4 linked regions of the Drosophila melanogaster genome follow. The protein of the gene in region 2 purifies or fractionates together with the protein of the main gene of each other region. This does not show direct contact. Each region holds a gene or a part of one and is shown on either strand. Other genes may lie near its edges. The genes, in order: Noc3, Ns2, RpL24-like and Nop56.

The links.
Region 1: the proteins of Ns2 (region 2) and Noc3 purify together in Drosophila melanogaster (affinity purification with mass spectrometry, with the first as the bait; one large-scale study listed by BioGRID). This does not show direct contact.
Region 3: the proteins of Ns2 (region 2) and RpL24-like purify together in Drosophila melanogaster (affinity purification with mass spectrometry, with the first as the bait; one large-scale study listed by BioGRID). This does not show direct contact.
Region 4: the proteins of Ns2 (region 2) and Nop56 purify together in Drosophila melanogaster (affinity purification with mass spectrometry, with the first as the bait; one large-scale study listed by BioGRID). This does not show direct contact.

The regions. Positions count from the first base shown.
Region 1 is NT_033777.3:7,242,326-7,250,515, forward strand, and holds Noc3 (nucleolar complex protein 3), read right to left. Parts: upstream 4,645-8,190; 5' UTR 4,559-4,644; coding exon 4,550-4,558; intron 4,498-4,549; coding exon 2,885-4,497; intron 2,827-2,884; coding exon 2,203-2,826; intron 2,147-2,202; coding exon 1,924-2,146; 3' UTR 1,907-1,923; downstream 1-1,906. Other genes in the region: CG14607 (uncharacterized protein), read left to right, coding at 303-349, 401-1,516; CG10053 (uncharacterized protein), read left to right, coding at 4,925-4,971, 5,041-5,794; CG1227 (uncharacterized protein), read right to left, coding at 5,960-6,076, 6,132-6,266, 6,325-6,919, 6,980-7,095; Dtwd2 (DTW domain containing 2), read left to right, coding at 7,553-7,632, 7,695-8,190.
Region 2 is NT_033778.4:17,563,170-17,571,340, forward strand, and holds Ns2 (nucleostemin 2), read right to left. Parts: upstream 5,288-8,171; 5' UTR 5,160-5,287; coding exon 4,950-5,159; intron 4,563-4,949; coding exon 3,884-4,562; intron 3,826-3,883; coding exon 2,690-3,825; 3' UTR 2,612-2,689; downstream 1-2,611. Other genes in the region: Klp54D (Kinesin-like protein at 54D), read left to right, coding at 1-112, 172-184; CG43324 (uncharacterized protein), read left to right, coding at 616-816; CG46428 (uncharacterized protein), read left to right, coding at 1,268-1,549; CG14480 (uncharacterized protein), read left to right, coding at 1,739-1,934, 1,995-2,155, 2,219-2,611; POSH (plenty of SH3s), read left to right, coding at 5,895-6,008, 6,077-6,185, 6,353-7,997, 8,065-8,171.
Region 3 is NT_033777.3:11,428,887-11,435,245, reverse strand, and holds RpL24-like (ribosomal protein L24-like), read left to right. Parts: upstream 1-3,663; 5' UTR 3,664-3,756; coding exon 3,757-3,837; intron 3,838-3,907; coding exon 3,908-4,402; 3' UTR 4,403-4,506; downstream 4,507-6,359. Other genes in the region: Exd2 (exonuclease 3'-5' domain-containing 2), read left to right, coding at 1-1,074, 1,282-1,690; CG5276 (uncharacterized protein), read right to left, coding at 1,954-2,251, 2,306-3,267; Dtd (D-aminoacyl-tRNA deacylase), read right to left, coding at 4,510-4,619, 4,675-4,907, 4,976-5,066, 5,122-5,164; Sptz (spastizin), read right to left, coding at 5,707-6,136, 6,194-6,321. UniProt on the Drosophila melanogaster protein: Involved in the biogenesis of the 60S ribosomal subunit. Ensures the docking of NOG1 to pre-60S particles.
Region 4 is NT_033777.3:22,417,082-22,424,613, forward strand, and holds Nop56 (Nop56), read right to left. Parts: upstream 3,988-7,532; 5' UTR 3,876-3,987; coding exon 3,873-3,875; intron 3,710-3,872; coding exon 3,307-3,709; intron 3,242-3,306; coding exon 2,157-3,241; 3' UTR 2,014-2,156; downstream 1-2,013. Other genes in the region: lqfR (liquid facets-Related), read left to right, coding at 1-229; mats (mob as tumor suppressor), read left to right, coding at 4,508-4,521, 4,887-5,053, 5,115-5,593; pinta (prolonged depolarization afterpotential (PDA) is not apparent), read right to left, coding at 6,515-6,713, 6,771-7,000, 7,217-7,532.

The sequences.
Region 1 (8,190 bases), on a different chromosome or scaffold from region 2:
CCCCGATTGTCTGTAAATGCAATAGTGAAGCTTTTGACCACTGTGCCCCCGATGTAGGAGTAGGAAGCTGAAAAATAAAGATCGCGGTGCAGAACCATCTAAGCCGCGCTATCAGCTCCCAGAATCACAACGTACTTGGCCTTAATAGGGGCTGCGAAACTCTTCGCTGCCATCGCCATCGATGGCTGCCAGGGCGTTCATTTCGATTTGGTGCGTCGCCAGTTCCACAGCTCGGAGCAGATCTTCGCCAGATTCCACGGACGGTTAGAAAGCGTTAATGTTGGCCCGTCTCTTTATTCCAGTTTTGGTGTTGCTCTGGAGTGGCGGATTAGCCCAGTTGCAAGTCCAGGTAAGCTATAAGGAGATTCTCTTTTCTTAACTGTAATCCGCGCTTTTATAGGCTCAAAGTGGATACAACTATGGGCGTCCCGAGGTAGCCAATGTAGGAGGAGCCACAGCTGGTGGTCGCTTGACACCTGCACCATATCCAACAGCACCAGCCCTGCCACTTACTCCCGCTCCGGCTCCTACTGCATATGGAGCAGGCTTGTTTCCCTCACCCGCTGTTGGATTTACGCCAAGTGGACAGGCTACCACTGCTTTTGGAGCACCCGCCATTGTAGGAGCCACAAACCCCGTTAACCCACCGAGAAGAACTTCATCTGGCGGATTATCTACCCCATCATCTCGCAGTGGACCCTATGGACCGCAGGCTTCGCAGTATGGAGGTACTCCCGGTGGATCTCCAATCCGAGTTGCTAGTGGAACGGGAGACAGCGGGGACTACAACGATTCCGATGGAGACTACTCGGCCATTCCGGGTGTTCCTGGAGTGGATTATCCTATTTATGCCCAGGTGCCGCGCACCAACTTTGACTGTGCGCAACAGCCCCTACCCGGCTATTATGCGGACATAGAGGCCCAATGCCAGGTGTTCCATATCTGTGCCCTCAACCGGACCTACTCCTTCCTGTGTCCCAATGGCACAGTCTTCAGCCAGGAGACATTAGTCTGTGTGTGGTGGAACCAGTACGACTGCGTTTCGGCGCCCAGCTTATATGCGAACAATGCCTATATCTATGATTACTCCGAGAGAAGTGGCTCCAATCTGAGAACATCGAATACCAACAACGTCTACCGTCCGGCCGCTTCTTCCTCGGCTGCCTTCGGGGCACCTCTGGCCACGACTGGAACACTTCGAGCCACCGGAGTGTCTCAGGTTGCTGGATATAACTCCGGCCGGGGGTCCTATCCTTCAGCCACGCCCACCCCAACCGCTCAGCCCCAAAGCCCGTATGGCGCTGGGGCTGTCCTTCGTCCCGCCATTGTCCCGAGCACTGGAGCCAATCGATTACCGCCATCGGGAGCTGCTGTCGGGCTTCTGGCCACTGCCGCCGGAGCTCTTCCCGAGAGTTCAGTGGCTGGATTCGGGCAACAGCAGTCGGGCGGGAATAGAGAGTATCTGCCACCAGCTAGCGTTGGACAACAGCGACAACGAGGAGGCACCAATGCATAGGTAGCGAATGAAAAATTCTGGCGAACCCCTGGGACTTGTACCCGGTTATATGACACTACTCTTAGTGACTCTAGACTTAGCCTCTATATAGAATGTTAGGAGCTCCAAACATAATAACTTGTAAAAATCCCATTAATTGAAATATATTACAGAGAAGTTCTAAGCAAATGAATGGTTTCATGTTTTAAAACCAACTCGCACCTTTCTGATTTAACAACAAATTTGTTCGATTATTATCTGGCTAATCAAATCCTGGTATCACACTTGGTATTCTCTTCCTTTAACTGAGAACGTATTTGGAAGAATGTTTAATATTGGGAAACAAGTTGGGTATTGTTTAAAAATTGCATTTCTTTCCACACTATTCCGCAGTCATTATAACTCTACTTCAATCTTCAAATTTTTCTTTATTGAAGTGCACTGAAAAAATCAATTTGTAAGGTTTGTTTATCCTTCGTCTGTGAAACTTTTCCTTGCTGCAGCAGTTTTCCGTACTCCTGTTTGAAGTCCGAGCGAATATATAAGTGTTTGCCCCTTTTTAGTTTTGGTTGACCCGCTTTTGGCAGCGGTATTGTCGGATTGAAAGCCATCTGAGTGCTGTCGAATTGCGTAAACAGCTCGTGGGAGGTACTAAGGAAAGTAATAATTGTTAGAGTCACATATGTAGTTGCCGTCTTATTACATACAGTTTGCCAATTTCCGTGGGCAAAGCTCCCTCGCCCGTTGCTGGCACTCCATGAGCAATGTGAACGGCCATCCGTCGCACCGTGGGATGATAGTGACGTGCCAGAAGCGCAAGCTCATACAGCGCTGTGCTTGCTGCGTTACAGTACTCAGGATCGTCCAGTTCGGGATCGTAACGACCAGAGCCTATCGTAGTGTCTGTATCCAATAGGTTGTCAAGCACAGAAGTGAGCTGGAAGGTTTGTTTTATTGTGCCAAGCGTGGCCAGGGTGCCATTATGGAGCAGATGCAGACTTCCAGTAAGCAAGCGTTTCATGAAGGCCATTAGACGCTGCTGGCTCATATTGCGACGACGCTTTACGAGCACCTCATCCAAAGTTCGCAAAATAATGGCGAAGTCATCGTGATTTTTGCCTGCCTGCACCGCCAGCATATTTCGGTAAAAGTGCTGGTAGAATCGGATGGGGTCGATGTTTAGCACCTCACCCTGGCCGGAAAGGATAACGAATATGGTCTGAACACAGTGCAATCGCTCCCGGTAGCCCAGCTCGTCTTGGTCCTCTAGAATGCGGTTGAGCACATCGATTAGATCGGAGAAGAAGTCCAAATTAATGACGTGCGCAAACCTAAAAATCATCCTCTATATTTAAAATTCCAGGAAAGAGATTTACAATAACCACTCACTCTGCCAATCCTTCTAGAATAGCGCTCAGCACGCGGGAGGTGGGATCGTTCTTAAGCACGCGGAAGTAAATGGTAAACACCATCTTTATGATCTCGGTGAGCTTCTGATGCTTTGCTTGCTTGTTTTCCTCGGCACGGGTTTCCTCTAGTTCTCTGTTAACCTCGGTGAGCTTCTTACGTCTTTTGCGCTCTTTCTTGGACAAGCTTAGTAAGCGTTGACGATGCGACTCAAGCTTCTTTTGCTTTAGCTCATTCTCCTTTTCGGCATCTAGGTTTACGTTCTTGATTTTAAGGCCCATCAGACAGGTGATGCACTCCACATGAACATTGTTCTGCTTCGTTTTGATCAAGTGATTGATGCGTCGCACTATAAAAAGAGTCATTTCTAACCGTTTGTCGTTGGAAAAGACTGTGCGGAAGCACTGATGGACCGCCGTTCGCATCTCTGCATAATTGCAATTCAGCATATACACCAGAAGCTGGGCAATGTTTTGAACGTAGTTAAAGTATGGATGTGCCACAAGCAAGTCACACATGCACTGTACTGCCACGGTGGCCAACTTCACAGTCTGAGGCGTCCTTAGACCACCTCTCCTGTTAACTTGCGCTGTGATCTGTTCCAGTTTCTGCAGGAACTTTTTAAACTGTTGAAGCAAGGCGTTTTCAAAGGTTACACGATCAAGAGTGGCCTTGCGAAGCGTCTGCATCTTGGTGTCGACCTGACCCACTCGATACTCGGGCAAGATATCTTTGAATATCTCGGTGACAGAGATTATGGCCAGCTTTCTGACGGCCATTAGGTTGGCCTGTCGACTGGCTGGGTTGATTTCGTCCATGAGTTCGTACAGAGCATGAAAGTTGCGCATCTTATCCTCTGGCTTTTCGAGCAGCCCGGAACAAATGATTCCAATGCGATACTTCTGGCGTTCGATCTCCTGCTGCCGGGCAATAAGTAGATCCGTGGTAGAGATAAGTTTTTGGACGGGAGCGGCGGTGGCGGCCTCGACATCATTGACCACATCGTCATCGCTGTCCTCATACTCCGTATCACCGTCTTCCTCGGAATCATCCTCCTCTTCTTCTTCATTCTTCTTTTTCTGCTTGGGCTTAGGTATGTAATCCACCTCTGTCGTACGGGTGATAATCTGACCATCCCTGGACTTGATTGGCAGCAAATCCAACTTTATTTTTTGCGCGTCCTGCTCTTTTTTCGTGTCAGAGGCATAGGCCCTTTCCAAGCCGATGGATTGTCCTTGGTCAGGATCATTCTCGCCGGTCGTCTTGGCCTTTCGCTTGCGTTTGTTAGCCTGGAGCAGGGCAAGATCATCGCCATCCAGCATGTCCGCAACGTTTTCAAGCATCTCATCGTCGCCATCCTCGTTGTCTTCCTCGAGCGGATCCAAGCCCAGGGAGGCCAATTTGTTGTGCTTTTTACGCTGTGCTAAGTTGTCCCGCTTTCTCGCCTTTTGGGAGAATATATTCTGACCCTGTTCGCGCTTCGATTTCAGTTGGTCGCGCTTTTGCTTCTGTTTTTGTTGCTGCTGCTTAGAAAGCGGTGTTTTTTTCGACTTCAGGTGAGCAGCCCGCTTGACCGAGCTGATTTTGACCTTTTTCTACAATGATTTGGATTAGAATAAGCATTAAATAATTTTACTTTCCACTTACAGTTCCCATTGCACCCGTTTTAGTCAACTAATAGTTAATTTTCACAAATGTTGCCTTCTGAATGGGACGAGCACATGGAACGCCAACGGAACTGTCCACTCGTCAGCGGAGCGCAACAGCTGCTCAGAAGCGGATAGTATTTTGTTTAGTATCTTACATGCGCTTACTTAAAATACTTTGTTTTTGAAGAAATAAGTAAATGACACAAACTGGCTGTTTTTTTTATCACTAAACAGAACCAATACTATAAAATACAATTTTCGGAACTCAATCTTCATAGCAGAGATATCATTGTTATTATAAATTATCGAAATAATGCTGTAGATAACTATGCAATGGTCACACTTAAGTGAGAAGTGTAAACAAAACAAACAGATGTCTGACGAGGAGGAGGATTATATGTCCGACAAATTCCTGGTTGGGTGAGATTACACTCACACCTAACTAACAACCAACCACCTTATGAAAAACTCTCATCCTTCCCTCATTAGTCTGCAAGATGTCCGACCGAGTTTGGTGCACAATCGCGGCAGAAAGCGGCAGATTGAAGTCGAGTCCAAGAAAGATGAGCTGAAGAAGCGCCAACGGGAGACAGCAGCTTCTTCCGGGAACGTAGACAATGTTCGCCTTCAACAGTCCCTCAACAAACCAATTTCCGCCGACAACAAAGGATTCCAGCTACTGGCCAAGATGGGCTACAAAGCCGGTTCTGGGTTGGGCATAACTTCGGATGCTCGTACTGAACCCGTGGGGATAACTATAAAGAGCGGTCGTGGAGGACTTGGGCGCGAGGCAGCCGTTGCAGAGTTGGCCCTCAAGCGGCAGAAGTTGCGGAGGGCACATCTCCTAAACAAGGCCGGCATTAAAAGCGACGAGGAAGTCAGTACAGAGGCTTATAGGAGGCGCGCGACCCATAAAGCGGAGGAGCGAAAATTACAGTATGACATAAAACGGTGCCAGCAGACCTGCGAATCGTTGGATCTTAAGTCCGCTATCACAGAACCAGATCTCGATTTCTTTTGGCCACCTAAACCAAAAGATGAAGATGAATCACAGAGCGACGCCGACGATCCTGAAGTCGAGGTGCCACCTAAGCAAGAACCATACAGTCCCTCGGAGCAATTAGAACTCCTCACTGGCTACCTGCGCACAGCCTATTGCTTCTGCTATTGGTGTGGGACCCATTACGATGACGCCGAAGATCTGGGCTCCAACTGTCCAGGACTCACTCGTGACGAACACTAGCTCCAATCAATAAAATAAAATAAAAAAACTAGCTTGATTGCTTACACATAATTTCATAAAATCAGCAGGTTTAAAATATTTTACAATAAGTAGTCAAAAAACAGTAAGCGGTGTATCTGGTTTGGAGGAATGTCTATAAATGAGTTGTAATCCAGTTAGTGGGAGCTACAAGCGACCCTCCAGTTTCTGTATCAGATCGTGGGTCCTTTCGATAACACTAAACACGAATGGCCGTTCCATTGGATCTGTTCGCAGCATGTACTTAATTAATTCGTGCATGTCCTAGACAAATATTTGGAATTAGTTTCCTTTACAATATAAAAAAAAGGTTTATTACCTCTGTGTAAATTGAATCCTCTGGAATGTTTATGTTCCCACTGAGCACAGCCAAAGCCACGCTGTCACCTCGCTCGTAGATGGGATCGTAGGGTGAATTAAAGTAGCACATTGCATAGAGCACACAGCCAAGACTCTGAAAGAGGGAAATGTTAAGGAAGAACTTCAATAACGCTCTCTTGGATCTGCTTTACCCATATGTCAGTGCGCTCGTCAATTGTGCAATATGTTTTCACGGTAAATAACTCTGGAGCCCGGTAGACAATGGAGCTCCTCTCCTCGGCTTCGTCCTGCAAGCGCTGAGCATCCGTCTGGCCCACAATCTGCAGTCGGGCTTCTGTCATTGACCCGAGATCCACAATAATTGGCTCAAAAGAGTCCGACAGGCAGATGTTGGCCGTTTTTAGATCTCGGTGGGCCAGAGGCACCGGCATTGCCTCGTGGATGGCCTTCAATCCCTCGCAGACGCCCAGAAAGATTTGCAGGATCTGGGCCTCGGGCATGTGGTCCTGTTTCCGCGATCGCAGCTGAAGGTGGTCCGCAAGAGATCCGTGCTTGTAATAGGGAAGCACAATGAACAAGGTGCTCGTTGTGTTTATAACTATGTCCGCCTGGCCCTTCAGCTCGTAATCCACTACCCGGATCACGTTTTCCGAGTCAATTTTTCGACAGTTTTCGATTTCTCGCAGAGCTATATTCTGATCATCGATGCTGTGGCAGGTGATGCGCTTTATCGCATAGCTACGTCGCGTGGAGGCGTTTTCCCCAAGGTCGATTAGACTGAAGCCCCTGTTTAAACACTCAGATTAGATATATCAGAGGAGATAGTGGGAAAAATGTGGTACAAACCCCGTCGCCAGCCTTTCGCGGATTGTGTATCGAGATCCGTTTATGTTCAGGGTCTCCTTGCGGCAACTAAAGAGGCAGCCGCGTTTCATGATCAGCGTCCATCCTATACTCTGCATTTTTCTTAAATTATGCTATGTACTTCACAACTTTAAGCTTAACAACTAGTTCAATTCACATACAAAATCTAAATAGAAAACACAAAGCTGAAGTGGAATGTTTATACTGGAACGAATTTATGAAGTTCGGTGATTTTTAACCATATTTGTAAGATTCTATATTAACTTTAACTTTAAAAACTAGGCACTTTCGTATTATTTTTACGATTTTAGTTTCTTGACGTATTAATAAATTAATATTTATTTTGATTCCTTGGTGTATAGATTAAAGGAATTCAAGATTCTGTCATCGCATAATCGCAATTTCACTGCACTCCAAACAGCTGATTCGAAGACAGGGCGGTCATATTTGCCATGTGGCTGTGTGCGTTGCCACCTAGTTGCGAATTGTTGCTTACGGATTTCTTATCGTGCGGAATATAAACTTAGCATTTTTCTAATTTAATCAATTATAAGTATGGAGGATGACGCGTGGCTGGACCTCGTGGGCATCAGCGCCGATCCGCCCAACAGACGCAACAAGTGCGAGAAATGCAAGTGAGTGGTGAAGCTGGGAATCTGCCATAAAAATTAAAGTATTTTCATGAACTCTATTATAGACGACCCGTGGTTGTTTGCTGGTGCCCGGCTTTACCGCATCCACCTGAGGCGGTGTCCTCACAGATTGTTATACTGCAACACCCTGCAGAGGAGAAGAGATCGCTACGCACTGCACTGATGCTGCAGTTGGGTTTGGAACCGGGAAAATGTGTCGTCTACAAAGGCAAGCGGTTTCCAAACCATAGAAACCATGCTGATCTGCAGAGGATTTTGGACTCTCCACAAACACTGCTTCTGTATCCCAGTCGGGACTCGGTCCCACTGGAAGAGGTGGACCACAGTGCGGGTCCTTATACACTGGTGCTCATCGATGGTACCTGGCCTCAGGCTAAAGCCATTTACGCTAGCAGTCCGGCTCTACACCGCCTGCGACAGGTGAAACTCATCGCCGTGGGTATAAGTGACTACATCATCCGTACACAGCCTACTGAAGGATGCCTTAGCACACTAGAGACCGCTGCGCAATGCCTGGCAGTGCTGGAATCTCGGCCAGAG
Region 2 (8,171 bases):
ACATTCTGATTATGGCCAATGCATTCCGGAAACCGGACTCAGACATTACCAAGGAGTTGAACCTGAATCCGGAGGAGGCGCATGCTAAGCAGTCGACAGAGTTTATGCCAGAGTAAGTTTTTAGAAACATCACCTAATTAATTTTACTCATAATTTCATTTTTATTTCCAGCATGCTCACATAATTAACTTTAAATAAAAACAGTTGTAAACTATATATTTTTGCAATAAATAAAATAAACGGTGTACAAAACATTGATAAAAAAAATCTATAGCCAATAGGACATATATTGATACAATTTATGAAAGCTTATAGTTATTCCAAGATTCAAAAACTGTGAAATCTTTCCCCACACCAACAAGAAGCTTTCACCAACGGCTGGCAAAAGTCGGAAAACTAAAGCACCATTCTCAACGCGGTCACACTTTTTATAAATATTGATTTTTCAGCGCCCCCAATAAAATATTTCATCGAGAAGTAGAGCGCATATTTCTCGCTTACAATATTGGGGAAATCGAAATAAGCACAACTCAAATTGAATCAAATCAATATTACAGCAGTATTAGCATCCCAGCAACCACCATAGGTCTCGCGGAGACAGCCGTCCTGGACATAATGGCTGCTAATTTGCAACAGCAGCGCTCCATCAACTTGCAGCTACGGCGGGAAGTGGAGATGGAGCGTATGCCCGTCTCGGTGGCATGCTCCTTGATGATGAAGTACATGTTGGAGCACGAGGAGGAAGACTGCCTGCTCAGCGGCTTCACACAGAAGGTGAATCCGTTTCGCGAGAAAAGCTCCTGCAGCATCCTGTAGATTCGGATACATCATGATCCGGACCCAATCCTAACAGTATTATCCTATAATGTATACTCAATCACGGCGAAGTTCAGAATCAGTCGTATTACCTATTTGCTGTTCGTTGTAAGTGTGCTGACCTCAATTATGTCTATAAACTAAGTATATACATTGGAAACGGACGAACCGAGAATTTATGGATGTATAAACAAAATACGAGAAACCGTCTTCACCTAAAACGCCTGCATATGTGTGTATGAATATCGTGTATTTTGCTAATCCTGTAGCTCTTTATTGGAGAATTTAGCAAAGCCCCATCCTATATAGATGTTTCCTATTGAGATATTCCTGAAATAAAGTCATGTAACCAGTGATTTTCATGTGAAGGGTATTTGTTTCGATTTACCTGAGGAAGAATTTTCAAAATTTCAGAATGTTCCGGATGAGTGTCTCGCCTTTACCATGGACAATGCGACCAAGCAAGTTCCCATCCGCTAATCCCTACTTTATTTTCTTTGACCACTTTCGGATTAATCTTCAAAAGCGGGACATTTGCCATCTGAAACCGATTTCCTTGGCCAAAATAGCCGGCAGAAAATGGCGAGAAATGACAACCGCCCAAAAATCAGTTTTTGTGCAGATAGCCGAAATAAATCGAGCCAGGCTTAGGGCCCGTGGTCGCCCCAGTGTTCCAGTTGGTAGAGTAAGGCGCTGTCATATTAAAAGAGTTTATAAGGATAGTTCATTTTAGTGGGACTTGGAAAGTTTTTCAACGTTTAACTTAAAATGACACAGAAGCATTAGCAATTCCCGCCACTAGTTCAAATTTTCACGAGCCACTACCAACACTTCTATATCATCGCACAGCTGCTAATTCGACGTTCACCACACTGGCAATAGTTGTGGTCTGTAAAAAAGAGCAATTTTACGAAAGTACAGCATGAGTTCGGGCTTTGTGACTGAAGCTGAGGCGACCGAGCAAAGGCAGAGACGTCAGGAGGAATGGGAGCGTGTACGCCAGCCGGAGGATCCACTAGAACGACCTGAGGAACCCTACGATGGGCGCTCACTTTATGAACGCCTCAAACAAAATAAGGACAAGAAGGACATGGAGTTCGAGGAAGCCCACAAGCTGAGTAAGACTATGCCATAAACAATGCAATCTGGCCATCCTAACATGCGTAATATACGTATAGAAAACCTCATCCGTGGTCTGGACGATGATGAGGTGCAGTTTCTGGAATTGGTCGATGCCCATAAAATACACGCGGAGCGCCAGCAAATGCGCGACGAGGAGCTAGAACTAAAGGATTTTCGCAATCGTGTGGAAAAGCTGCAGGAGGAGAGTGTAGACAAGGTGGGTAAAGTTACAGCAACAATCAATTGATTTTACAATCACCCGAACTTCCGCAACCCTCAGAAACTGCAAGCTGAACTAAAAACCACAGCGAAGTCCGCGGGAGCTTCGGTCGGGCGTAGCACTCAGAAGACGCTGCTCGGCCAGGGCATCAAGAGAAAAAACGGCGAACTGCCCACCACCAGTAAAGTAGCCAAAATCACTGAGAATGAGGTCGAACAGACAGCGACAAATGAAGCAACCAAGGACCCTGCTGATAAGACAACGAACACCACATTAATTACAAACAAATACAACCAGGGGGCCCTAAAGTGCATCGCTATACTTCCGGGCATCGGCTCCTACACGGAGTCTAGTGACTCGGAGGCCAGCACCGATGAGGAGGAACCCAGTATGTGCAGCCGAACCGACTTATGTGGCCGCAAAATTCCCAAGAAGAAGCAGTGCTCAGAGTAGGATCAACTTTTTATTTGGATTCTTAAAGTGTAGTTTTTCCTTGCAAGAAAATATAGCCTAGAGTGTAAACGTAATATTTTACGCGTCCTTCTTTTTGTTTCTATTGCGATTCTTAACATTTGTCGTCTCGTAAAAGTTGCTGCCAATCTTCTTGCGTTTCTGACTGCGCTCCAGGGAGCGTTTTTGCTTTGCAGTCAACCGAGGAGCCTTTGAAGTGCTGGGTCCATCGTCGTCAGAGCTGCCAGCACCATCCGAATCACCAGGTTGTATTTTGGCCACTCGGAATTTACCAGACGATGTGATGGCCAGCTGTTGTGGCTTCTTTGACTTGGCCTTCTTGTGCACAACGCGTTGCAAGTCCTCATTGTACTCGTCCTCCGAGTAAAACTCGTCCGCTCCATCGCTAGACTCCTCGTCCTCTTCACCGAGGTTGTGGATGCGAGCCTTTTTCTTTGCCGCACGCTCGGCCTTCTGTTGCTCTAAAAGCTCTAGATCTATGTGATCAAGATCCTTCACATCTTCCTGCTCATACTCAAGACCCACGCGTATTTTTCGAAAATCTTGGATCTGCTTAAACTCGCGCGCCTTCTTTACAGACTCACTGACGAATGTAGGTGCCTCGGATTTAGCATCTTCGTTGGGATCCTCTGCAACTACTTCCTCCTCCTTACCCTCCTGGGATTTGGGAACTGCGAATCCTTCGGGTGGAACGTAGAAAGGAAGTTTGCCTCGTTGCCAATCGTTAAGCACCATACGGGCTGTTACCGTAACGTCCGGTTCACCGCCTTTTAGCAACTTGCCGGTCTTTTGAGCCAACTGTTCTAAAAAGTGCGTGGATGTGTTCCAGTGTTCAATTTTGTAGTTCTTTGAAATGTACTCCGGACGCACGCGTTTCAGCAGAGAGTCTACGTAATCTTCAGGATTTGTGACGAGCTCCACCCGCACCACACCCTTCAACACTTTCTCGGTGTCAGTCTCCGCGGTGGGATACACCACGCCAGGACAATCGATCAAGAAGATGCGTTTCATTAGCGTTATATACTGCCATACTTTCGTCTCCCCCGCAATTGGTGCTACCTTGCAAACCTTTTTTGATCGTAGCGCATTAATAACAGAAGATTTACCCACGTTGGGATACCCAATGAAGCCCACGCTGATCTGTTTTTTGTCCAAATGCAGTTTGCCCAACTGACGGAATAGATTGATGAGCGCACCTATAAAAATAATTGATTTTTATGACAAATAATTGATATTTTTACTTTATAAACTTACCTTTTCCAAAAGGATGTTGTAGGGAGGCATGGAAGGCAATAGTAGGATATTCGGCACTAAGAATAGCCACCCAACGCTGCGTTACCCACACCGGTACCAGATCAACCTTGTTCAGAATGAAAAATAGATGTTTGTGCGGTTTTTCCTTGCGCAAGAACTCCTCAATGTACTTCGAGCGCGTGCCCATGGGATCGCGGGCATCAAGAACCTGAAGCAGCACATCGGACGCATCGACCACCTTGTGCAACTCGTTCCAGATGCGTTTACTCTGCCCCGCACCGAACACCCAATCACGGACGGCCTTCTTTTCGCCAGTATCCTCGCGGATTAGATCTAAATCCTTAGCTGAATCGTACTTATCGGCCTGGTCATCGGCCGCCTTGCTTAAATCTTCCAGATCGCGAACCTTTAGGCTGACGCGCTTGCGCTGCTTTTTGGGCCCAAAGGTACTGTCGAAGCTCTCGGTGTCCAGCAAATGAACCCTTTTGTATTTTGCTGCCTCGTTCAGTAAAGTTACCGGTAACTGGGATGGCTTCATGATCACCTGGTAGGGATCCTTGACAGCCTTGCCAATCTCATCCTGGAACTTTTGCAAAGCAGTTTGCGAGATAACGCGGGAATTGCTAAACCACTTGGGCGTAGGCTCAACTCGAGCCATTGTTCCAGCAGGCAGGCGCCCCTAAAATAAAGCACATTTCCAGGATTAGTATGAATTATTAAATGGGTTGTGGAAAACATATTCGGCATTTTCTCTCTTGTATTTAATTTTTTCTTTTATATATTTACAACAAGAATGAAAACATAAGATTTGTAATTAAATTATTATACGGATAATAAGTCGTAACAAAATATACTTATGAAATCTTTTTATCTTTTAATGCTTTTAATTTTGAGTCGATCGTTTTAATTGCACCTTTGTGAAGTAGATGATAATTTTGAAAACTAAACAATGGTTATTGGATATTCATGTTGCAATAAATCCTTCCTATGTCTATAAGTGATGGTAAATCTTATGAATCCAAAGATAAGAATTATCGAAGATACATGTTGTAAAGCTAAATCTCACCTGGAAGGGGGCGGGCGTGAGGATCTTTCCAGTGCGATCGCGCTTGGCCTTGAAGTTACGGTACATCTGAAGCCGCTTGATGGTGCCCTTAGTGCGGGGGTGGGCGACTCCCTTGAGACCGCTTTTGGGGCGCTCCGGATTCATGGAGTGGTTTGAGTGGTTGAATCCCTGCGTCCGGGGCTTACCCGGGGTGCTGCGTACCTTTGGCATGGTGTCTCAAGAATGTCGTGTGCCTTGTTTATAAATCAAATCGTATATTTGAACACGATCAAACCAAACCACACGTGTTTTTATATGAAATAAAAAAACAAAGGGATCGTGCGTTTTTCAGCACTGTCTGGACTTAGTATCCAACACTAAAATGCGCTTCAGAAAATATCGACTACGAGGACTGGCCACACTAAAATCCCAACAGTAATAAACACCAGTTTGGGTACAACTTAACAATTATTTGCATTTATTAAATGCAACTATAACCGGGGCACATGTGGTATTTAAATAATTTTTTGCAAATTTAGTGAATTTAAAAAACATGTAGTACTCTCTTAGCTTCTTTCTTTTTGGTTAAATGTTATGGAACTACTATTCCTATTGGGCATATACTTATGACCATCACTGTGTTCAAGTATCAAGCTGGTTTTATATCCGTGTGCCTATGTACATTTGTATCCGCTTGGCCACGAGCTTTGGCTGCACTTGGCAAACTTAATAAATTAAACATTGAATCCTGCCTATTGCAACGATAATATAATCTGATTTAGTGCATTAAGAACGACAAGTAGCGATTATAATAGTAGATTTTAGCATTTGAGCTAAATTTATTTCCCAACCGCGTCTTGGGATTGCGTATGCGTGAGCCAGTACCTGCATGTGTGTGTGTTTTGGAATGTGGCCCTGCACGAAATTCAAATAGTGACCATCCTTGAGATTTTGCATACTGGCAAGATGGACGAGCACACGTTAAACGACCTGTTGGAGTGCTCCGTGTGTCTTGAGCGACTGGACACCACATCGAAGGTGCTGCCATGCCAGCACACCTTCTGCCGCAAATGCTTGCAGGTGAGTAATTGTTGTGGGTTTGCTACATATATATCATATAACCGAATGATTTCATCATTCTATGCCAGGACATTGTGGCCAGTCAGCACAAGTTGCGATGCCCGGAGTGCCGCATCCTGGTCTCTTGCAAAATTGATGAGCTGCCTCCAAACGTCTTGCTGATGCGAATCTTAGAAGGTAACAGCTAACGCCCACACCAACCTAAACTGGCACAGCACAACAGCCTACGCTCAAAATCAAAGAATGGTTGACTTTATGAGTGCGGCAAAGTGGCTTTGGCAATTGAATATGGCGTTTACCTGGTCTTTACCTACCTTTAAACACCCTTTCTTTAATTCTCACAGGCATGAAACAAAATGCAGCAGCTGGCAAAGGAGAAGAAAAGGGAGAGGAGACTGAAACACAGCCGGAAAGGGCCAAACCTCAGCCGCCAGCGGAATCAGTGGCCCCGCCTGACAACCAACTACTCCAGCTGCAGTCACATCAGCAATCTCATCAGCCGGCTCGTCACAAGCAACGTCGATTTCTACTCCCCCACGCCTATGCCCTCTTTGACTTCGCCTCCGGTGAAGCCACCGATCTAAAGTTCAAGAAAGGGGATCTGATACTGATCAAGCATCGCATCGACAACAACTGGTTTGTGGGTCAAGCGAATGGTCAGGAGGGCACATTTCCCATCAACTACGTCAAGGTATCGGTTCCGCTGCCCATGCCGCAGTGCATTGCCATGTATGACTTTAAGATGGGGCCCAACGACGAGGAGGGATGCCTCGAATTTAAGAAAAGCACTGTAATACAGGTAATGCGCCGAGTTGATCATAATTGGGCAGAAGGACGAATTGGCCAGACCATCGGAATCTTTCCAATAGCATTCGTTGAGCTGAATGCAGCGGCCAAAAAGCTGTTGGACAGCGGGCTACACACCCATCCATTCTGCCATCCACCGAAGCAACAGGGGCAGCGGGCCCTTCCTCCGGTTCCAGTTATTGATCCCACGGTGGTCACGGAATCCAGTTCGGGATCCTCCAATTCCACGCCGGGCAGCAGCAATTCAAGCTCCACATCCAGCTCGAATAACTGCAGTCCGAATCACCAAATCTCACTGCCGAATACCCCCCAACATGTAGTAGCTTCCGGATCGGCGTCTGTTCGTTTCCGTGACAAGGGAGCAAAGGAGAAACGCCACTCACTAAATGCTTTGCTGGGAGGAGGAGCTCCATTAAGTCTGCTGCAGACCAACCGCCATTCGGCTGAAATTCTTAGCCTGCCCCATGAACTAAGCCGCTTGGAAGTTTCCAGCTCAACAGCTCTAAAACCCACGTCAGCCCCACAGACATCGCGTGTACTTAAGACCACTGTTCAGCAGCAGATGCAACCGAATTTACCCTGGGGATACTTAGCCCTGTTCCCATACAAACCACGCCAAACGGATGAGCTGGAATTAAAAAAGGGTTGTGTTTACATTGTGACCGAACGATGTGTGGACGGTTGGTTCAAGGGAAAAAACTGGTTGGACATCACTGGAGTGTTCCCGGGCAACTACCTGACGCCCCTGCGCGCCCGCGACCAGCAGCAGTTAATGCATCAATGGAAATATGTTCCCCAAAATGCAGACGCCCAGATGGCACAAGTACAGCAGCATCCAGTTGCACCAGATGTGCGACTCAACAACATGCTGTCCATGCAACCGCCTGATTTGCCACCTCGTCAGCAGCAGGCTACCGCCACGACCACCAGTTGCTCTGTGTGGTCGAAACCAGTGGAGGCGCTGTTCAGCAGAAAATCGGAGCCCAAGCCTGAAACTGCCACAGCTTCGACTACGAGCAGCAGTTCCTCTGGAGCAGTGGGACTTATGAGGAGATTAACTCACATGAAAACACGCTCCAAATCTCCGGGAGCGTCCTTGCAGCAAGTTCCGAAAGAAGCTATTAGCACAAATGTGGAATTTACAACAAACCCATCAGCTAAATTGCATCCAGTACATGTAAGGTTAGATCCGCAATAATAAGTTATCTTTATAGACCAGAATAAAAGTTTAATTGTTTTGTCTCTTCAGATCCGGCTCGTGCCCCAGTCAGCTGCAGCACAGTCAACCGCTCAATGAAACTCCAGCAGCCAAGACAGCGGCACAACAACAGCAGTTCCTACCCAAGCAGCTGCCTT
Region 3 (6,359 bases), on a different chromosome or scaffold from region 2:
CGGCAGCCGCAGGCCAGTGGCCTTGCTCCAATTGAGCTCCCATCGGGGTCTATGTGCCTTATTCCGACTGTGCCATATGAAACAAATACCCCAGGATCTGCGGGAGCTTCTCGAGGACGATTCCGTGATCAAAGTGGGCGTGGCACCCCAGGAGGATGCCATGAAACTTTCGCACGACTATGGAGTAGGCGTGGCCAGCACACTGGATCTGCGCTTCCTCTGCGTAATGGCAGGCCACAAACCTGAGGGACTGGGAAAGCTCTCCAAAACTCACCTGAACTATACACTGGACAAGCACTGGCGCCTGGCCTGCTCCAACTGGGAGGCCAAGACTTTGGAGCCAAAACAGCTTGATTACGCTGCCAACGACGCACTTATGGCGGTGGCCATTTATCAAAAATTGTGCAGGGATCTGCAGCCAAAACACTTTTGGCAACGAAGGCAACTGGACGACAATAGCATGCACAACAAATTCGAACCCTTTCTCGACGTGGACTTCACGAAAGGCTTCACACTCAACCCGTCCGGCAGCGGAGTAACTCGTTCAAAGGGCTCCACCCAATCCAAAAGCAATAAATGGGTGCCCAAGAAGCAACCGTACCGGCAAATAGCTACCCGAACCAAAGACTTCTACGATAACTGCCTGCTGCAGGCGCCCGATGGCGAACTCCTGTGTACAATTGACAGGCGCAAGGCGTCCTGGTATCTCAATCAAAATCTGGGCACGCATATAAGCGAAGAGCCCTTCACTGTCCGCCTTAACTTCGAGCCAGCGGGTCGAGCGGTCGGAGATGTGGGGCGCTTCTATCAAACAATCAAGAAAAACCAGTGCGTGGTGTGTGGTGACCGGGATGCGTACATTCGGAAGAACGTGGTACCGCGGGAATACAGAAAGCATTTCCCATTGGTCATGAAATCTCACACCTCCGACGATGTGCTGCTCCTGTGCCCAACCTGCCACCAGCTAAGCAACATCTCGGATCTAAGGGTTCGCAGCAAACTGGCCGTGCAGTGCGAAGCTCCTTTCAAGCAGGAAGACGGATCTGTCAAGTACCATGATGATCCGCAGCTCAAGTAAGTATGCCATACATTTTCAGAACTAAGTTAAAAGTAAAAGTAAATTATACATTGCGAGGAATGTAGATTGCCTTATCAGTTATCTTACCAGACATATTTTGCCTCTTTTTTATCACCTAACTTTCCAAAACATACCCTGATATATGATAAAATTAATCTCCATAGAGTTCTCAATGAATCTGAATTGCATTTTATTATTTCCAGACGAGTCCAATCCGCTGGCAAGGCACTACTTCATCATGGCGCGAAAATACCCGCTGCAAAGAAGGCCGAAATGGAAAAGACTCTCCTCGATTACTACTCCGATCAAACGGACATCACAGAAGATCTCCTGCGGCAAGCAGCCAGCGTGGAATATCGCGTAGAAAACTCCGACTACTGTCAGCATGGCGAGCGGGTGGTGCAGCAATATCGCGATCATTTCGGCGGCCTGGTGGAGCTGGAGCGCTTATGGCGGCAGCACTTTCTGCACACAATGCAGCCCCGCTTTTTGCCCGAACTCTGGAATGTCAACCACAATGCCGATCGACTGGAAGTTCGCGCCAGCGAGGGTCGCATCGATAAAGCCGATCTTATGGTGGCCGGATTGGATGCGAAGATTAAAGAAACGTGATGCAGGGCTTTTCTGAGTTTGCCACCGGCTTTGTACGTTTTATATTTCAATTTTAATAAAAATAAACTAAAATTTTTTTTTGTGCTATGGTACAAGACGGGACAAGGAGTCACGGTTCATGAGGCAGATGAGCATCTCTGGACTAATCTAGGTGACTATAAATATAAAGCTTACCGTATGGGACAATAATACAATATGTACACGTTTAAAACTGAAGCACCTGGATCGAAGTAGAGTGGAGTGCGGTAGCTTGGAATGGCGAGCTAAATGAACTCGAATCCCTCATACTTGTAGTCCGTCTCGATCCTCGTTTCGGGCAGCAGTGTCTTGCCCGCAATATCGAAGGCTGTGATGAAGGTGGCCGTCTTGCCATTCAACTCCTCCGACTTAAGAGCCACGATTATTGAGTCATCGGTGCCGGGCAAGAACTTAAAGCTAGAGAAACCATGCGTGGGCGTTGTATTTTCAGGATCGAGCCGTACAGTCTCAACGTTGGTGAAGCTTTCGTCGGCGGAGACCAGGACATTGCAGCCCATGTGCTCGTCCTTGGTTTCGTTGTATCTTTCAAAGATAGATCGATGAGTTAAGGATTTAAAGGCTGACACGCTTACTCACTTCTCTTTCGAACACCGCCTAGGCAGGAAAAACCAGCGATTCCTTTCCTCTGACCAGGTTCCACTCTCGTGGATCATGTAGCCCGGCCAGGTTATTTGCATCGACTGCAGGCGCAACTGCTTGAAATTGTCCACCCAGTTGAGCGACCTCACCTCGCCGGACGGAGTGATGGCCTTTACGTACATGGGGTTATTGTTCTCGAAATCACCCGCACTTGTCGTCCACTCCTTGCCCATGGAGCCCACATACAGCGTTTGCTCTTTCACTGTGGCCCATTCGGCCTTGAAGCCCTTGGCACTGTGTCCGTCTCCATCGAGCAGGATCACCCAGGGAATGGGCTTGTCATTCACAATCTCGTATATCAAACCCGTTCGGTCGTCGAAGGTGAGCAGGCGCCCGTTGAAGGTGACTAGCTCAGATAGCTCCATTCCGCGGCCCTTAAGGGCAAATGCTGATTCCAGGACTATCGGCGCCCCGTCATCCCAGCTAATCTGGATCTCTGACCTGGCCACCGTGTAGGTAAGGTAGCCCTTCTTCAGGTAGCTACGCCACGTGCTGCTCCCATCGCCCTTGCTCACCTTGGAACTGGTGTCCAGATCGGCAATCATGGCTATCCGGTAGTTTATCACACCGCCACGCAGCACCATGGGTGACGTGAGCGGATATGTGGCATTGTAGGCCTGGACCACTGGACCACCATTGTCCAGACTCCGGGCATCCGTGTAACTGCGGCGCAGCCAGTAGCCGTCGGAGGAGGAGTGCGATCCCTGGCGCGCAAAGTAGAAGAGTAGGACGAGTACGAAGGCGCAAACAATCAGAAGGGCGAAGTGATAGTTAAAGCGCACCGTCCGATTCCCAATCCGGTACGTGGGCGTCCGCAGGGCCGATCGCCAGTCGCGCATGTACATGGCGCGCGGCGAGTGTTCTGCGTGTTCCCGGTACGCGAAGGCAGGGCTCTGCATCTGGTCGCACGTCAGCAAGATCTCGTTCGCGGTGATGTGTCCGATTTTCTTGGTCTGCTGCTCTGTTTGTTTGGATGCTGGCGGTGTGACCAGCGCATGAGCGGGCGATCAGCTGGCGCAACAGCTGGTGCAAACTGGCGAGCGCATGCGATGTTATCGAGAAACAGGTGCAACAATTCAGTTTAAGTTAATGTAAACATACTGGGAAAAACATGATTTGGACAAAGACCGAAGGTAATTGAAATTATCAAAACAATACAACTGTCAACTGGTATCGCAGTCACTTGCAATTTATACGTATTTCTTGCTTGGATATTTTTTGTCTACATCTAGCTATTTTCCATGTTAGCCAGTGTTATCGATAAGCAGTGACTGGTCGCACTGCTGACTGCCGATACATTTTCATATTTCTTCTTCTTCAGCAGCACACGTGCTAGCAGCTTGCGCATTTGTTTTGTTTTCGTAATTTATCCGTCGTAAATTGCGAAAATGCGCATTCAAACGTGCTATTTTTGCTCTAGCAAAATATACCCGGGCCACGGGGTGCAATTCGTGCGAAATGACTGCAAGGTAAGAACGATTTGCTTTCCTGTTTACATGTGCTCCGATGTTTATATTGCTTCGCCATATTCCGTCGCAGGTCTTCAAGTTCTGCCGAGGCAAGTGTCACAAGGCCTTTAAGCGCAAGAAGAATCCCCGCAAGGTAGGATGGACGAAGGCGTACCGCAAGGCCGCCGGCAAGGAGCTGGCCATCGATCCCAGTTTCGAGTTCGAGAAGCGCCGCAACGTGCCCATGAAATACAGCCGCGAGACCTGGCAGAAGGGTCTGGAGGCCATCAAGCGGGTGACGGAGATTAAGGAGAAACGCACCAGCCACTTTGTCATGGAGCGACTGCGCAAGGGTCGCCAGGTCGAGATTCAGATGGACGTCAAGGATGTGCAGCGCAACATGTCCCTGATTCGCTCCCCAGCCGCAGGGCTGAAGCAACGACGTGCCCAGGAGGCGGCAGAGGAGGCCGCCCTCATGGAGGAGGATCTGCCCGAGGAGAAGATCACCTACGTGGATGCACGCGAACTCGAGAAGAAACTGGAGGAGGGAATGGGGGTCGAGGATCTCGAGATGTTAGAAGCCTAAGGACGAGTACGCTGATTTTTTCTTAGTTTAAGTTGCTGCTAAAAAATACATTATATAAAAACCCCGTGGTACATAAATGTTGTCTTTGGTTGTTATATATTTTCAAATCATTTGTCCACTTCTCTGTCAGTATCCTTTTGTTCGGGGGACTCCAAATTAATGGTTACGGGTCCATCGTTTTCTATGTGCACTTGCATGTATGCTCCAAATTTGCCATCTATTATAGTAAGTGAGATTAAAACATGACCAGCTGGAGTGTTCCTATCACTCACCTTTAATCTTGGTGCTATCGTAGGATTGACCTAGGCGATCCAAAAATTGATTGTACAACTCCTGCGCCTCCTCGCCCTTCATGGCAGCCAAAAAATCCGGTTTGTTGCCCTTAAGGCGGTGATACAGTGTAAACTGCGAGACGCACAGCAGTTCTAGGTTCAGATCCTTCACGGACTTTTGCCAACGCTTGCCCTCCTCCTCGAATAAACGGAGAGCCAAGATTTTCCGGACACTTGAATGGTAAGCTGTGTTAGGTGGTCTAAACCTAAGGTGGTTATCACCAGAGTGGAATTTACCTACAGATACTCAACATCCTTGGCGGTGTCGCTGGCCTTGATTCCCACCAGCACGCACAGGCCTGGTCCAATGGAGGACACCAGCTCATCCAACACTAGGGGAGCAGTATAAAATTATATGATAGATGGTAACTATTTGATCCTGCATACCCGTCACTTTGGCAGCCTTAACCCTTTGTATAACCGCACGCATTTCTTAATTATTCTATTTATTTACCACTTATTTAGATCTTTGTCAGTGCTGGTAAACTTGACACGAGCAGTGTTGACCGTCGCCCCAAGAATTCAAAAATATCGCGCATTTTCTGGGTAATAAACATATAACAGTATAATATAAAAATAACATAATAAATATAAAATACAGTACAATCAATAATATAATTTGGTTACATGCTGGGAGAGTCTTTTTGAGCTGGAGGGTGGAATACTTGCTGGCCCTTTGGAAAGATTAAAATTGATCTACATATATGTTAAATTCTAAAAACAAATTATCTATGCTAGCTCAGTTACAAAACAACTTGGGCCTTCACTAGGTGAATAATCAAAAGATGAATTCCAATTCCGAATAATATATATTCATCTAAATCTCAAAATTGAGAATTTGCTTAGATATGTTATTGTCTTTTAGAATGCAGGAGTTTTCAAAGCTACAAATTCATCATTTGGTATTTCTCACAGCTAGTAAATCCCAGAAACAAGGGGTTACTAATGTGTTATTGCTCGAGGGTTGGGATATCACAGAGGCGTTGGCGCGGCGCTTAGCTGGAGCTTCATATCGCACAGTTTCTTGATGTGAACCTGACCGGTAAGCTCCGCCTGCCGCAGGATTCGCCGGATATCCGCCAATCGATCGTGCTTGTTGGCCAGCAGATAGGCGGATTTAAGCTGCCCAATGTAGATGTAGGAGGAGACTCGTAGCTCCACGCTGCCGATGCGTTTGATCAACCGATCCAGCATCTGTTTCGTCTCCGGCGCACTGCTGTGCACAGCAGCATTAATGGCAATCGAGAGTATTTCATCGGACTCCGTGGAAATGTCTCCGCCGTTGTTGCTTCCTATGCAGTCCAGCAGACGCTCTACCTCACCCAAGCGCTGATTTCTCGACAGGTACTTAGCAGTGGCTCCAAACACCTTAAGTGCAGCCAGCTTGAAGTCCTGCATAATGCTAAAAATAAAACAATTATAGCTGACATTGTCGTCTTGATTTTATCTTTTTGCTTACCCGTAAGCCAGGCCAAAACCTTCGTCTATGTTCTTACCGCACATGAGGATCAGAATGCAAATTTGTATCCGATCTGCGGCGCCTTCGAACAGAGTAGGTAGAGTTCCTCGACTGGACTCTAGTCGAATCTTTGCGGAGGTTAAGTTTGGTATTAGTTAAAGAAAGA
Region 4 (7,532 bases), on a different chromosome or scaffold from region 2:
AGCGGCCACATTGCAGCTAATAGGAATCGCCTTGGTAACCACACCAGCTCATGTGCTGGCCCAGCACTTTGCGGAGTCATTGAACGAACTGCAGCGCTGGCTGAATGACTTCATAAGATCGCCATTGGTGGGCGGAGAGACTTCGGAGGAGTGTCGTGAACTGGCCCAAAGCATTTTGGACACCTGCTACAAACTCTTTGATACAGCCGCCATGGAACAGGCTGCCTAACTTGGCCATCAAAAAGTTTTGAAAGCAGCCTATAGAGTTTTAAGAGATTTAAAATATTAAAACTGTATTTAAAATACACTAAGCATATTTCTTGTTACGGAAAAACGAACAATTTTTTACTGAAATATTTCCGAATTAATATATGATATATATGATTAAATACAAGATTACTTCATACTTTACATCAATTCTCATACAAACGTTAACGCTGTGTCCTTAAACATTTTCTTATAATTGTATAAACTAATAATAGACTCGAGAGTTAGGTATTTGCTAGAAATAAGACAACAGTTCTAGGAATTATTTTTTAAATATCTATCGCCCTCGAAGCCATTGTATTCCAGGTATACATATATGGATTTACTTCATTTATACTACTTTCTTTTGTTTATTTGTTTTTCTCCTACTGCATATTTGTATTGCAAACCACACACACATTGGATCCAATATTATTTCTCAAATATATACATACATATGTACTTAATAATGATGAATTGAAAAGCATTTCTCAATATTCCGGGCATTGTGCGGCCTCCGCAGCCACGGACTCATTAGGTAAACCAATCCAAAACGGCAATAGCCACATAACAGATACGAACCTATTCTTTCCTTCTGTAATTGCACTTGATTTGCTGCGCAAACGCTTCCGAGTAGTGACCACCTCATTAGCCGATCACCAAGTAGCCGCATTCGCAATTCTATCGAAGCCACATATTTAAAACAGCTTTTTGTGAAACCAAAATAAAAACGAAAACTGAAACCCCGAATAACATTATTATTGCATTTGTTTTTTTCCAGACAATATGATGCCTCCCATTCCCGCCGTCACGGGCAATAATCTGCTCCAGCCCATGTCGGTGACCAATAATAACAATAATACCAACGGAGGCGCAGTCCCCGCCGCTGCCAGTGTCCAGTCTACCGCTGTGGGCGCCACCTGGTCGGGCGACCTGAAGGGCGGCAAGATGAACATTGACCTGGACAATCTGCTGATGAGCAAGTCGGGCAAGCCCAGTGCCCCGGCCCCTTCGATGAATGCCCTGAAGACCAACAGTCCGGCAAAGGCGCCACTGAATGTGCAGACGGGTGGCGGATTCCCTGGACTGTCGCCAATGACCAGTCCGAACATTTTTGGGGCTCCGGCACCGCAGCAAAGCATTCCACAAAACCAATCAGCATTTGCCAACTTTGGAGCTTTCCAGCAGCAGCAGCAGAATCACAGCAATAATAACAATAATAGCTCGTCGGCATTCGACTTGTTTCAATGATATTTTTTAGCCTAATTTAACCCAACCAACCTACTACCCAAAATGTCCACTCTCACATTCACATTTCCACGATCGCTAAACTTGTCAGTTCTATATATTATTTACGTTTTCCTTTCCCCTTGCTGTACAAAGTTTGCGACACGTGCAATTTGTTTCTAAATTCGTTGTTAAACAATTTACCCCCGATGCAATTTTCCGGATCAAACCCATTAATTCCACATCCGTCCTGATCGTCCACTCGGAATTTGAAAGTCGTCATCAAATGCAATACACAGAGTAGTTGAATAATGGTTGTACTAAACGGATTCGTTAGCACAACGCGCGGACGGACGGCTGAGCGATCCAACATTGAAATTGTTAAACAAAATACTACACGTAATAAAATCAAACAATTTTAGCAATAGTTAACGTTACGATGTGTCTGTATATAAATTGAATGTAAAGCAAATATGAAATATAAAACAATTGAAACCAATAATTATGATAGTCTCTTGATTTAAAACGCAAACTCATAAAATTCCGGTGGGAATACCCTCCAAAGTATATGTTTATTATTATTTGAAATGCGATCCATCAGGGGGTCAAAGGAAATACAAAAGAAGCATGTAAGTAAAAGATAATAGTGTGGACTTAAACTAAGTTGAATGTAACAGAGACATTTACGCCTCCACCGCTTCCTTGTTTTTGTTCTTCTTTTTCTTCTTCTTCTTTGGCTCTCCATCATCGTTGCCATTGCCATTTTCCGCCTCGGCGGCTGCTCCGTTTCCATTACTGGCGCCATTCGTCTCGCCCTCGTCTTCAGCCGCTCGCTTCTTCTTTTTCTTCTTTTTCTCGGACTGTACAGTGATTGCCGCCTCTTGACCAGCTGCCTCGATGGCCTCCTTCATTACCTCAATGTTCTTGCGCGGCACATCGCCGGACTCGTAGAACTTGAGGCGATCTTCGACCTGTTGCTTAAGAGTTTCGCCAAACACGCTAGTCGGCTGTTCCAGGAAGCAATCGATACGCGACGCGATGGAGCACTTGTTGGCCAGGAATCGAGAGATGCGACCCTTGTTCTTCAGGCCAGCTCGACCAATGAACGAGGAGTGATAGATAAGACCATACTTGGGCGTATTGGAGCGGGTCTTTAGAGCACGGAAGAGCGCCTTCTCGGCACCCAGGATTTGTACTGTAGATGCTGGGTACTTGGCCAGATTAGTCAAGCTGCCGGCATGCGATATCAGGCGGGCACCGACCTGGTCGCCAATCAAAGACTGCAGATTGGGTGCCACCAAGTTCATCTTGTTGTGCAAGTAGGTAGACAGTTTCTTTCGGTACTCGGAAAGCTTGACAACGCGCTCTGCGAACAGCTCAATGTTCATCAGATCAACAATGGAGATGTCCATGCCCATGGACATCTTGGCGGCATCAATGATAGCCTGAGCCTTGGCGGAGTCCATGACGATCTTCTCAAGATCCTCCAGCTGGTCTTGCGTGAGGTTCTTGCGATCCTTGATGAACTTGGCCGCCTTGGCGAACATGTAATTGTCGGGAACGATTTTGACCAGTTCTGGGAAGTGATACGAGTACCACTCGCGTATCCGCATAGAGAAGGTATTTACGTCCTTATCCAACTGATCCAGCAAAGCAATCGACTGGATGATCATGTTGTCGGAACGATGAACATTGAACTTGACCTTGGCACGCGAGTAGCTGTGGCCCAGACCCAGCTGAGCAACGCCAGCGGACTTGTCGGTGAATCCTGCATCGGATGGAGGAGGCTTTAGTTAGACAAAGAGGATTTTCCTTGCAAAGCAGGTAGCTTACCCTTGACCAGCTTAGCGAAGTGGAATCGCACGCCGCGCAGAATCTCAGGAACCACTCCAAAGTGACTGCACTGGACGCCAATGGCCTCGGTGATTGCAGCTCCCAGCTTGGCATCCGCAATACCCAGGGTGCACTTCTTCTTCTTCAGCTTGGCAAAGAAGTCATCCAAGAAGGAGAGCAGATCCTGCGGCACTATGCCCTCGGATATGGCATTGATGTTTTCCAGTGCGGCAATGGCCGTCTTGAAAGGTGCAAATCCAGCCAGCTTAACAATTGAGTTGAACTTGGCGAGGTCCGTCACCGAGGACTCCACCTGGGGCAGGAACATGGACACCTCTTCGAACTCCTTGACGGAGAAGAGCGAGAAGCCCGCCGCATGCTCGTACAGCACATACAGGTTCGACTGGAGGCGGGGAAATGAAAAATTATCAGTCTGATGCGGTGGCAGACACATGTGGTTTTGGGTGCTCCGCGTGTGTAGGTTAGTTTTCGCAGGGAAAACATTTTCATTTCACGGGCAACCCGCAGAAAATTCAAATATATGATTATTGCACTGAAATATTTACCATGTCTATGCCGAATATATGCCGATTTAATTAAGAAATATATATTTTTATACACCCACGATGCTGCTACAGTTGTTTTCCCACGTGCTTACTTCAAGTGTGACCATAGCAAGCCGATTGCGAAATGTTAGGGACATACCAGATAAAATACCGCAGTACCGTACTGAATTATTTTAACAGGCTGGCCACGTTGATAGCCTGATAACCTGTCGCGTTGTCCCTCTCGCACTTTCATCAACTGTCTCTGTGTGTGAAAGCAATTTTATTTTTATTTATAACAAATTTTTTGCGTTTATAAACACAACAGAATTAACTAGTTGGCTCGGCACACTTCCTGGAACCGCTCGCATCAGCTGTTGGGCTACGGCACTAGTTAACAGACCGACCAACTGGAGGCCAGATACAGATACCATCATTGTCATTTCCCAATTGACCAGAGAAAGAAACCTGCTGCGAATTCCAGTCACTTTTCTTTAATTATTATTCGGCGCTAATTGTGTAAAAATCGGCGGAATAAAGCTGCTGACACGACACAGAAGAGCCGAAAAAGCGGTGTGGCACTCGCCGGAAAAGTCTACGCATAGGAAAATTCCATTGGAGGCTCAGTGAAAGGCGAAGCACAGCAATTGCATGCCATGGACTTCTTGTTGTAAGTTCTCAGGGGGGCAAAACGTAGTGCAACTGCAATCCTTTCGAGCACAAAGAAAGCTTGGATCACCCCGCCCCACATCTGACTTTCCGGCTTTGTTTGCCCTTTTTGGGGTGATATCCCCAACCTCTTGTACAGTGGAACTTCCCTAATTTTGTCTGCGGTGTTTAAAAAATAGCTTTTCAAAGATATCTTGCATTCTTCCTCAGTGAATTTAAAAAAAGAAAAAAAAAGGAAATATTTCTTTTAGGGAGTGTAAATTGAACGAAGTCGCTTACGTTTCAATCTATAGAATCTTTACTGTATTATGTTTTACTGAGTGGGGCTGTTTGGGGCCGCGACTTATTGCCTTTCTCTTTCCACAGCGGTTCCCGTTCCAGCAAGACCTTCAAGCCCAAGAAGAACATCCCGGAAGGCACACACCAATATGATCTCATGAAGCATGCGGCAGCCACGCTGGGATCGGGAAACCTGCGCAATGCAGTGGCCCTTCCAGATGGCGAGGATCTCAACGAGTGGGTGGCCGTTAACAGTGAGTCTAGTATAGTGTAACTAGCGAAAGATAACCAATTCTTATTGCCACTCCTTCGCAGCCGTGGACTTTTTCAACCAGATCAACATGCTGTACGGCACCATCACCGAGTTCTGCACCGAGGAGACCTGTGGCATCATGTCGGCTGGTCCGAAATACGAGTACCACTGGGCCGACGGTTTGACCGTAAAGAAGCCCATCAAGTGCAGCGCGCCCAAGTATATTGACTATCTGATGACTTGGGTGCAGGATCAGCTGGACGACGAGACCCTGTTTCCCTCCAAGATCGGCGTGCCGTTTCCAAAGAACTTTCACTCCTCCGCCAAGACCATACTGAAGCGTCTGTTCCGCGTGTATGCGCACATCTACCACCAGCACTTCACAGAGGTGGTGACGCTTGGCGAGGAGGCCCATCTCAACACGTCCTTCAAGCACTTCATCTTCTTCGTGCAGGAGTTCAATCTGATTGAGCGGCGCGAACTGGCCCCGCTGCAGGAGCTCATCGACAAGCTGACGGCTAAGGATGAGCGGCAGATATAGGAATCACTGCATGGAGCCGCGAATTTTCGCGATTCCGGCGGCGGTGGTGGTGGTCTGCGCTTGCAGTTGGACTTGTGATGAAAGCGCTCTGGCAGACTCGTGTATTACGCTTTAGTTAGTTACCGCCAATACTTTTATGTTTCGTTCATTGCTTCATGGGGTGCCTCCCACTAAACAAAAGAAAACAAAAAACCGCCAATTGGCAATGTGAACCGAACTATAGCGGGCTAATTGCTGATCCAGAGCAACTACTATATTTTTATATGTGAAACGTAAAAACGTATAAATCATATTTATATGTATATGTAAAGGAGAAAACAAAAGCAGCAAAAGCAACAGCACGCCTTTTATAACTAACACCTCCCGCTTTCGAGAAACAACAAATATTACGTTCACAAACTATGCGTGTTTCCTTGTTTATCGTTTTTCTTTCTGTATGTATTCTATGTATTTATTACTATTAAACTATCGCTAATTGCTCGCGGTTCAGCGGATCAAGCGATTTTGTAATGCAAACCCCAGCAATTTGAGGCGACGGTCGGCAGCACCCAATAACTGATAATAATTGTAGACTTGATAAACATTTTTGATACGTTTTATACTAATAAAGAGAATATTATGAATAAACTCGTCTCTTTTTTGTTTGGTTTATCGTGTATTGACACTTTATTAAGCAAAAAAAAAAAGATAACATTGATGATTAACACAACGAAAATAACCTTTTTTAAAAAGGTTTAACGTAATGACTTATAATATATACAAATATGGTTAAGTGGGGAATTAGGGAGTATTTGTAGTACCCTTCCATAAAATATGACAACTGATATGCGCCTTTGTGCATTTGCGCATTGTAAATGTTTTCGACTAATCTATAACATTCGGCTAATCGCCTTGTTATCACTGCCGCCACACTAACCCCAATCACTTGAGCTTGCTTTTGTATTTGTCTTGTTCCACATAGAAATCGGCGTTCTCCTCGACCAACTGCTTCCACTTCACAGACAGCTCCATATAGCTTAATCCCTGACCACCGAGTTCCTTTGGCAACTGATCGCAGCTCACGGATGTTCCTTCACGACGCACGAAAAGTCGCGATCTTATCTTGGGCGTCATGAATATTCTAAAAAAAATGATAATATATAGTAAATTCTAATTTGACTTAGAACATACAACCCACCTAAAGGTGTTCAAAAAGAAGTTCACATGGCGCGGGGCGTTGGTGAATTCCAATAGCTTGGGCTGACATGGATATGCGGTCCAGCTTTCCACGGATCTCTTGATGAGCTTCGGATTCATTTGAAGAGCGTGCCCCAGTTGAACGCCCTGCATATCCAGAATAGCCACCATTCCGCGGGCACAGGTCTCCGGATCGAGCTTTAGCAGCAGGTCCAATATCATTTTGCTGGTCTGGGAAACAAAGGTTGGAGATATAAGTATATGGAGGAAAAAATGTGGACGAAACTTATCGTATTTCATATTATTAAAATGTTAAGTTATTTTTTATTAAAGCACGAAAAGTTCGCCTTCATGACTATGTTTAATTTGTTAGCTACATATAGTTTAAGACATTTCATAAAATCGTTGTATTTTATTTTTTCCTGTGTACATATTTCCATGACTCACTTTAAAAACATTGTTCTGGCTGTGGAGCTTGGGATCGTGTGCTGCTGTGCGTATGACCACCACCATCCTTTGTTCGGCATCCGGACCGATGGGTAGGAAGACGCCCAGCTTGAGTAGGTCCTGGATCTCGGGCAATTGGGGATCGCGATTATCGAACCATTCGGTGCGCTCCGCCCGCATTTGGTAGAACGTTTTCAGTTTCTTTTTGGCCCGTTCCACATCGAACTTGGAGGTGCGGAGGAAGAAGTGCAGGTTCTCGAAGGTGTTGCATCCGTTGATCTGCGGATTGGCGACGAGCCAGTCGCTGAGATCCTGG